Linked DNA regions of Daphnia pulex. The protein of the gene in region 1 binds, or shares a complex with, the protein of each later gene. Links are inferred from orthologs where the notes say so. Each region holds a gene or a part of one and is shown on either strand. Other genes may lie near its edges.

What was found. The genes of interacting proteins can lie anywhere in the genome.
Region 2: integrin alpha-PS2-like (region 1) and LIM and senescent cell antigen-like-containing domain protein 1 share a complex: the UniProt entries of both Caenorhabditis elegans proteins name them as parts of the integrin containing attachment complex. The link is inferred for Daphnia pulex from reciprocal best matches to the Caenorhabditis elegans genes pat-2 and unc-97.

The regions. Positions count from the first base shown.
Region 1 is NC_060022.1:1,631,038-1,634,659, reverse strand, and holds the end of integrin alpha-PS2-like, read right to left. Parts: coding exon 2,940-3,622; intron 2,870-2,939; coding exon 2,642-2,869; intron 2,472-2,641; exon of another isoform or gene 2,400-2,471; intron 2,257-2,399; coding exon 2,158-2,256; 3' UTR 552-2,157; downstream 1-551. UniProt on the Caenorhabditis elegans protein: Required for muscle development probably through the regulation of the actin-myosin cytoskeleton. Component of an integrin containing attachment complex, which is required for muscle maintenance.
Region 2 is NC_060026.1:14,674,648-14,678,979, reverse strand, and holds LIM and senescent cell antigen-like-containing domain protein 1, read left to right. Parts: upstream 1-1,426; 5' UTR 1,427-1,567; coding exon 1,568-1,857; intron 1,858-1,937; coding exon 1,938-2,042; intron 2,043-2,103; coding exon 2,104-2,216; intron 2,217-2,282; coding exon 2,283-2,475; intron 2,476-2,535; coding exon 2,536-2,677; intron 2,678-2,738; coding exon 2,739-2,855; intron 2,856-2,919; coding exon 2,920-3,061; intron 3,062-3,125; coding exon 3,126-3,331; 3' UTR 3,332-3,777; downstream 3,778-4,332. Other genes in the region: protein SAND-like, read right to left, coding at 1-105, 169-305, 366-749. UniProt on the Caenorhabditis elegans protein: Component of an integrin containing attachment complex, which is required for muscle development and maintenance. Probably function in adherens junction.

The sequences.
Region 1 (3,622 bases):
TCTTATGGATAGTCACGTTGTGCTGGATCATTCGACGGGTGTGTGTGTAACACATAGCGAACCATCACTCCGCCGATGTGGAGATTACATCAACAGCATTCCAAATGAGAGTTTGGCTGTTGCCATACACACAAATATATAATCACCAGATATTTTAACCTTTCCCTGTTTACGTACTACTCATCCGATCCGATTAGTTTGTCCATTTCTTCCATTTCTTTTTCTTCTTTTCACGGGGCTGTGGGTCCATGCACTCACGGAATTTTTCGCACGGACGACGCCAGGGTTCATCCGTCCGTCCTTATTCGTCGACGGTCACCGTTCCGTTTTTGAAGGGATTCAAAAGCTGCCCGGCGTTACAACATACAGGACGTTCGTCTTGCAGCTCAGGATGTGTGTGGGGGGGATTATAATCACACCGATGTCTAAGTCGGGACGTGACAAAAATCGCGTTTCAACTAGAAACAATTCGACATTTCTTTCAAAACGGCCAGTCTAGATAAGACCTAAAAAGAAGAAGAGCATATCAATCAAGGTCAGACGAGATTAAATTCACGAGGACTAGTTAGTTTTTATTGTTCTCTGTGATGACATGTCGACCAAAAATAAAAATAAAAAATAAGAAGAAAATTACATTTACAGCCAGCAGCAGATATCATCAGTAGAGTCGAGCGAAAATTATTATTATATATATAGAAATGACACTGATTAATTAAAATTAGAATATTATCGTGATATTTTTTTCAACAAAGTCACAGACACACAAACAGCACTCGCATCGAGACCCATCCATCGTCACACCGTAGACGGTCGCACAATTGGAGGGTCGTTAAACAGGATTGTCACGCGGCAATATATTAATAATTCATTGAAAGGGGAATTCAATAAAGAAAATCAATCAAACTGTCCCATTTGTTAATCATAAAAAAAAGGCTAGCTCAAATATTTTAAGTCAACACGACCGCTGGTCTCTAAACAAAGTTCATGGCTCAATTTAGTTATAAAAGTCAATCAACACTCGTCTTTTTAAAAACAAACCCACAGTTTTCCCTTTTGTACAATTGGCTGTTGGACATCTTTAACGAAGATCGTCAAGGGAGATTAATTCATTATTCGGATTAATGTTATCAAAGTCAAAAGGCCTGGCTTTTCAGATATCGTCGGAGATGGGCAATAAAAGTGAGAACATGGACCGTTGAGGTACGACACAGCCAGTCAACACGAATCAAAAAAATAATAACTCAATCCAAAAATAAGCAGCAAAATTGGACGACGAAACGCAATTTTTTCTTGGCAGGCGAAGGCAGATGAAACACGACCAACAAGGCGATTGGGGAGTATTAATTATGAACGATGGAGTTGAATCAATATGGAGACGATCGAAATATAATGGAAACATTAGAGCAGGACGCACACATTTTGGTTTTTTGTTGAAAATAAAAACTCACTCGAAGAAAATTATTACAAAAATGAATTGAAAAGGCGATTCACAGCGGGATGCTGACCGACAAAAATAAATGAATAGCCGCCCAATTTAACTAAAGGGAGGGGGACCTCTCTTATTTAAAAAAAATCTCTCTGTATAAAAAAGGGGTTTTGTTCGTCAATCTGTTGAGCACCAAATCATAAGCTAAAGAGGCCCCCAACACATTTGTGCTTGTATAAATTGCTGATGGTTTCATTCATTTCGTTAGTCATCGTAATAGCATCCATTTTAAACGCAGGGCACCACCACAAATGTAATCTTTTAATTGGTATAAGCTAGCCGATGATCGATGGTGATTAAAAAAAAATTCATTAGATTTCTAAAGTACAATTCAAATTCGACGTAACAAGTATAGAGTAGCGTCAATAATATACATGACGAGCTACTATTTACTGTCGTCTCTCAACAACAATACGCATCGCAACAACAGAAACAAAAGGTCATATCATGTGAACAATGGATAGAGGGGGGGGGAAGAATAGAAATAAAGTCAGAAGAGTTTTTGTTGTCCATTACTTCTTTTTTCAAGGAAGATTAATAACGTGGCCCTATATAAAGCCCAGTCTAAATACATACTGTACACATGTAGAGTCCTATTGTGTGTTGATTCGGCTGGATAACGGCATCTCTGGCAGACTCGAAGTAAGTTCCAAAAGTTGAAACGAGTTTATTTAAAGGGCTTCGTCCCTCTGTAAATGGCCGTTCTCCGACTTGAGCGGCTCCTGCTCGCATTCGTCCTTATCCGGTCGACTCCGTTCGAAGAAGCCCAACTGTAACATTAAAAGAAAAGATAGGGGTAATGTAGAATGATATTTAAAAAATAGAGGGGGAACTATTTTATACGGTCACAACAAGGTTTCTAAGTCTAGTCTTATCAGCCGGTTTGGGAGACTTTAAAATCTTTAAAAGATATGACTGCGTGGCGCAATGGTAGCGCGTCTGACTCCAGATCAGAAGGTTGCGTGTTCGAATCACGTCGTGGTCAAACAACTTTTTTAAAATTATTTTTTAGTTCTCAACAGACTAAGCGTTCTTTTCTTCTACAATGACTACTCAACCCAATTTTAATTTAACTTTAAATAAAGATTTAAAAAAAAATAAAACTAAACAAAAAGAATTTTGAAAAAAAAAGAAAAAAAAAAGTTTAAATTTTACCTTCCAAAGGACAAAGATGAGGAGTAGAAGAAGCAATACTCCGGCCACGGCTGCCAGAACAATGATCCACCAGGGGATAGCTTTAGCTTCTCGTTCCCGATCCAGTTGATCCAGCGTAGTCGTCACCGTAGCAGAGCGTAGAGGAAGGTAGCCAGGATCGACACCGTACGGAAGTTCGTTGATATCCACCACCATCTTTGATGAAATCACCAAATCCTCCCAGTCAATCTGCAATCAATCAATATTCATTCAACTATAAACCGAATTCCAACTTAACAATTTAATCAGAAATTTTTACCTCTGAAATGGTTTGAGCCCAAATTCTGGCGCGCAATTTGAACACGACGTTGTTGTTGGAAGTGATGGGACCAGCCGAGCACTTGATGACGGTGCACTGAGTCGCTCCGCAGTTCAATTCCCTGTCCAGATCCTTCGACTGGCTTTGGCGACGACTGCGAACGCGATTTTTCGTGTTCCTTCCGTGCTGGAAGTTCATCGGTGCCTGGCGTCTTCTCCTCCGTCCCTGGGTCGACTGTTGGTCCAGTTCTTCGTCGTAATCGTAATCCTCTTCTTCGTCAAAGATTTGGCCAGGGATCACTTGTCCAGGAGCTCCGACTCCGCTGTTTTGGCTGGTCACGCTGGACTGGACAGTGCCGTCGGGATTGTAACGGGTTACCGTCGACGTCCGGTTCCAGGAGGAAGAGGAAGTCGAAGTTGTTTTGGGTTTCCCGTCGACAGATGTCGTTGAGGATGACGACGAGGACGAAATGGCATTGGCACCGCCACCACCACCGGAAGAACTGCTGGAGGAATAAGTTGTTTTGCTTGATTTACTGGCGCCACTTCCGCCGGATGATGAGCTGCCGGATGAGCTGCTGGACGAATAGGAAGATGATGATGAACTGCTACCAGACGACGCCGAGGAGGCGCTTCTTTGGCCGCTGAAACTTGCGCTGGATGACGAGCTGCTGAGCCTTTCGC
Region 2 (4,332 bases), on another chromosome or scaffold:
TCACCAGCCAAAATCATATCCATGGAGTCTTCCCCATCTTCCACAAATGAAACAAGTGCCTGCATCACTCCAAATAAGGTAACAAGCTGCTCCTCATTTCCATGTCTGTAATTTAAAAAGGAAAACAATTAATTATAAAAAATGACAAATAGCTAATTCAAACCCAACCTTGTGTAGATGGGTTTTCCTGCTTCACTCAAGACAAAGAAATGTTTCTTTTGATTTTTCCACAGCAAGGAGTCTGATCCACTCTCTTCATCACCAGCAGCAGCTGGCAGGGAATTTTCTTCCAAGATTGATGAAGCCTGATTCATTAATGCTTTTTAACAAATCTTGAGGGGAGATTATTACTCAGTAAATCTCACATTGGTTGTACGTGATATGGAATCCTCATTTTGATTGCTGAAAGACTCTCGTTCTAAGTAGACCCTGGGCCGTACAAATTGTTGGTCTTGGTTATTGGAGACAAGATCTGATTCAAAAATCAAATCAGGTTGAGCTTCAACGGCAATTTCTAATAATCCGACATCACCGTTCTGAAAACCATCAGTACAACCGGGGTCTGCAGGAGGTTGTATGTTTAAGCTCACATCATTGGAATCACTATTTGTTCTGGTACCGCTTAAATTATTTAGACTTTCATATGGATCACTGCTGTCAAGAATTCCATGACTGGAGCTAGTAGCTGCATCAAAATTGTTAACCGAATTCGAAACAATAATTTCGCAATCTACTACTTCTGAAGCCATGTTTACTATCAAAATTATGCTTCTTACATCACCTGGCGGCGTGTTTTGAAGGGGCGTGTACAGAGGGCGGCGTTTAATGTCAGATGTCACAATAAAATGGGTTGAAGTTCCGATAATTGAAAAACGTCACAAATGCAGAGAAAATTAATTTTACAAAGGTAATGGTGTGCTTTTTATATACTGATATCGAAAAGACAACAATTAATTAATCGAGTTCGTTGAATGACCACCAGATGGCTCTACAAGTCAATCAAAACATTATAATACGGACCGGATGCAGTAAATCGTGGATTTAGAAGATGCGGTAAAATGATAAAGAAAAAGAAGGGAAATGTCTAAAACAACGATTTCGAAATTCGTCGGGGCTCAATCCGAATTAAGGTAAATTTTAAAAAATGCGAGAACCAAATGTTAATTTTTTTACAAGGAATTTTATCAATTTTAGCACATAGTATTTTTGCGTTTCTCTTAGCTTTTTTCCCGCATTTTAGTCCCTTTCACTTTTTTCACAAAATTATCTCCTTATTTGGGCTGATCTCTGAACGGGCGCGGTTTGTGTTGGTGTTAGCACCCGATTTCGTCCACAGGTCTCTACAATCTGTTGAAGTTCTTATAGTTATTGAGTTTATTTTATCGTTGTGTTCATTTCAAATGCCGCCTGGGTAAGCTATTGATAAGATAAATACTATTACTGATATTAATAAGCTCTTGAAGTGGCCACACATGAGATAACACATTTAGTTATCAATTGCCGTTCTTCACCCCATAAATTGCTGGACATTTCGGTTGTGTTCACTGAAGAAACTCCATTTTTCACCATGGCAAAAAGACCTAACATTCTTGTTCTTAAACCCTTTGAAAATAGTAACCTTTACCTTAGAAGAATGGAGGATAAGATGAAACCAAGTGCAAGTGCAAGTGAAGTAAATGAACTTGAGGGTTTGCTTGAAGACCTTACATCTAATGATGTTCCGAAGGGAATTCAAAATCAACCACTTCCTCAGATACCTAGCTTGAATTCAGTTCAAACTTACATTTTAAAAAATACTTATGCTAACAGCCCTCCTAAACTTCCTTCTAGAAACCTTAAACCTAGTAATATTGATAGGTATTGTGGTTTAACAGTTAGTATAGTAGATTTCACACATTCTGAATTTCAAGAAACTAATAATGGTTTGAACTTTAAAGCGATATGTACAAGAACACCCAATGTGTGAGGTGTGATTATGGTTTTGAGCCTCATGAAAAGATTGTCAATACAAATGGAGAGCTGTGGCATCCCCAGTGCTTTGTGTAAGTACTCACACCAACATTTTTACTTGAAATTGAATTCTAATTTCTTAATCTTTCACAGGTGCGCTCAATGCTTTCGCTCCTTTCCAGAAGGAATTTTTTACGAGTTTGAGGGTCGCAAGTATTGTGAGCATGATTTTCAGATGCTCTTTGCTCCTTGTTGCGGTCGCTGTGGTAAGCGTTAAATCGATTGACTAATTCATAGATTTTTAAATAATAACGCATTTTTTGTATTCTTAGGTGAATTTATCATCGGTCGTGTTATTAAAGCAATGAATGCCAATTGGCATCCCAAGTGCTTCCTCTGCGAGATGTGTGACAAAGAACTAGCCGACCAGGGGTTCATTCGTCACCAGAATAAGGCACTCTGCCACGATTGTAACGCTCGAGCAAAAGCCGCCAGCTTGGGAAAACATGTCTGCCATAAGTGCCAGTAAGTGCTGTGTATAGTTGAAAATTTCATCGGAATCTAAGGATCATTATTTTTATTTAGCTCTATGATTGATGATCGTCCGCTACGTTTCCGTGGCGAAGTCTATCATCCTTATCATTTCAACTGTTCGTCTTGCGGAATCGAACTCAACGCGGACGCACGTGAAGTTAAAAGCAGACCAGGTTTCACCGCTAATGAGATGGTATTTCACATTATTTTTTAACATTTAATATCTTTGTGACAATTGTTTAAAATTTACACAGAACGAGTTGTATTGCTTGAGATGCCACGACAAAATGGGTATTCCAATTTGTGGTGCTTGCCGTCGTCCAATTGAAGAGCGTGTCGTTACGGCGTTAGGAAAGCATTTTCATGTTGAGGTATAAAACTTAATGAAATCATCACAGGGATTAAATTTACCTATTACAATGGATTGATTTGTAGCATTTCGTATGCGCCAAATGCGAGAAACCGTTCTTGGGTAATCGCCATTATGAGAAGAAGGGTCTTGCCTATTGCGAAACCCATTATCATCAGCTTTTCGGCAATCTTTGCTTCGTTTGCAATCAAGTTATTGGAGGAGATGGTAAAGCATTTTATACATGTTCTTCTTTTAAGACATTAACACCTTGATTGGCTTTTCTTTTCAGTGTTTACCGCATTGAACAAAGCCTGGTGTGTTCACCATTTCGCTTGTTCGGTTTGTGACACAAAAATGTCGCAGAAAACCAAGTTCTACGAATTCGACTTGAAACCGACTTGTAAAAAATGTTTCGATAAATTTCCGGCTGAACTTCGGAAGCGTTTGAAGAAAGCTTACGAGACTAGCCCGAGGAAAAGCTCTGCAGCGAATTAGTATGGGAAAAATAAGTAACGAATCAACATAATTGGATTCGTTTTTTTTTCCGGCTCTTGTTTACCTTTTAATATTCTTACTCCTAGTAAATTACTAAATTGATAAATATGCTGAATTTTAAAATTCTTTTTCCTTCACAAGGTGCCTTGCTTTTACTGTATCAAAGATAAGACCACAAACTTTTTAATTACAAGTTAAGCGATTAATGACTTTACGTCTGCCGATTAGAGTAAGTACAAGAATTATTCATATTTAAATTCTACAGGATTTTCGTGTTTTTTTACTTCACTTCTCGCTTATTTCTGTAAGCTACAGTCACACTTTTAAAATGTTTCCCTCATTGAAATCACTTTCAAGTTCACAAAAAACAACAAAATATCTTAACAACTGCTGACGTGTCTTCCGAATAATGATTTTTAAACATGTAATAAACTAATAATCTCACAGTAGCGTTTACAATTTTATCAATGCGTTCACAGGTCATGAATGGGAAAAATCTGTTGTTCAAGATGCTAAGACAGACATTTACCTAAATGATAAGATCCACAATCATGATAGGTCACAAAAGAGAAGGCGCTCAAAATAGTCATGTAATAACTAAATTTCGATATTGATTAAATTTTAAGTTAATGCCGCTGCCGACGCAACGGAGATAAAGTTAAATTGAAAATGACATGAAAACTCATAAGAAGATATTACTTTTGAAATATGCACTGATGATATGAGATCAGTTAACCCGGCTCTTTATAATTTATTAATTCAAGTTTGTCTTGTTAGAAAATAGAGAAATAATCAAATTCGTTGTCGAGAATTGATCTTTGGAGAATTTGGACAAAAATGTAAAAATCTCCATTCTGTTGTAGGGTGAGCTAATAGCTAATAGCCTTTGGCGATTTTGGTGACCTTTTTTTTTGGAAATCATTTGTGAACAAAGTACGACGACTTATGAACGCACCCCGTAAAAAGGTGTAGGCCGTGCCGTCTGCTATTTTTGCCACGTC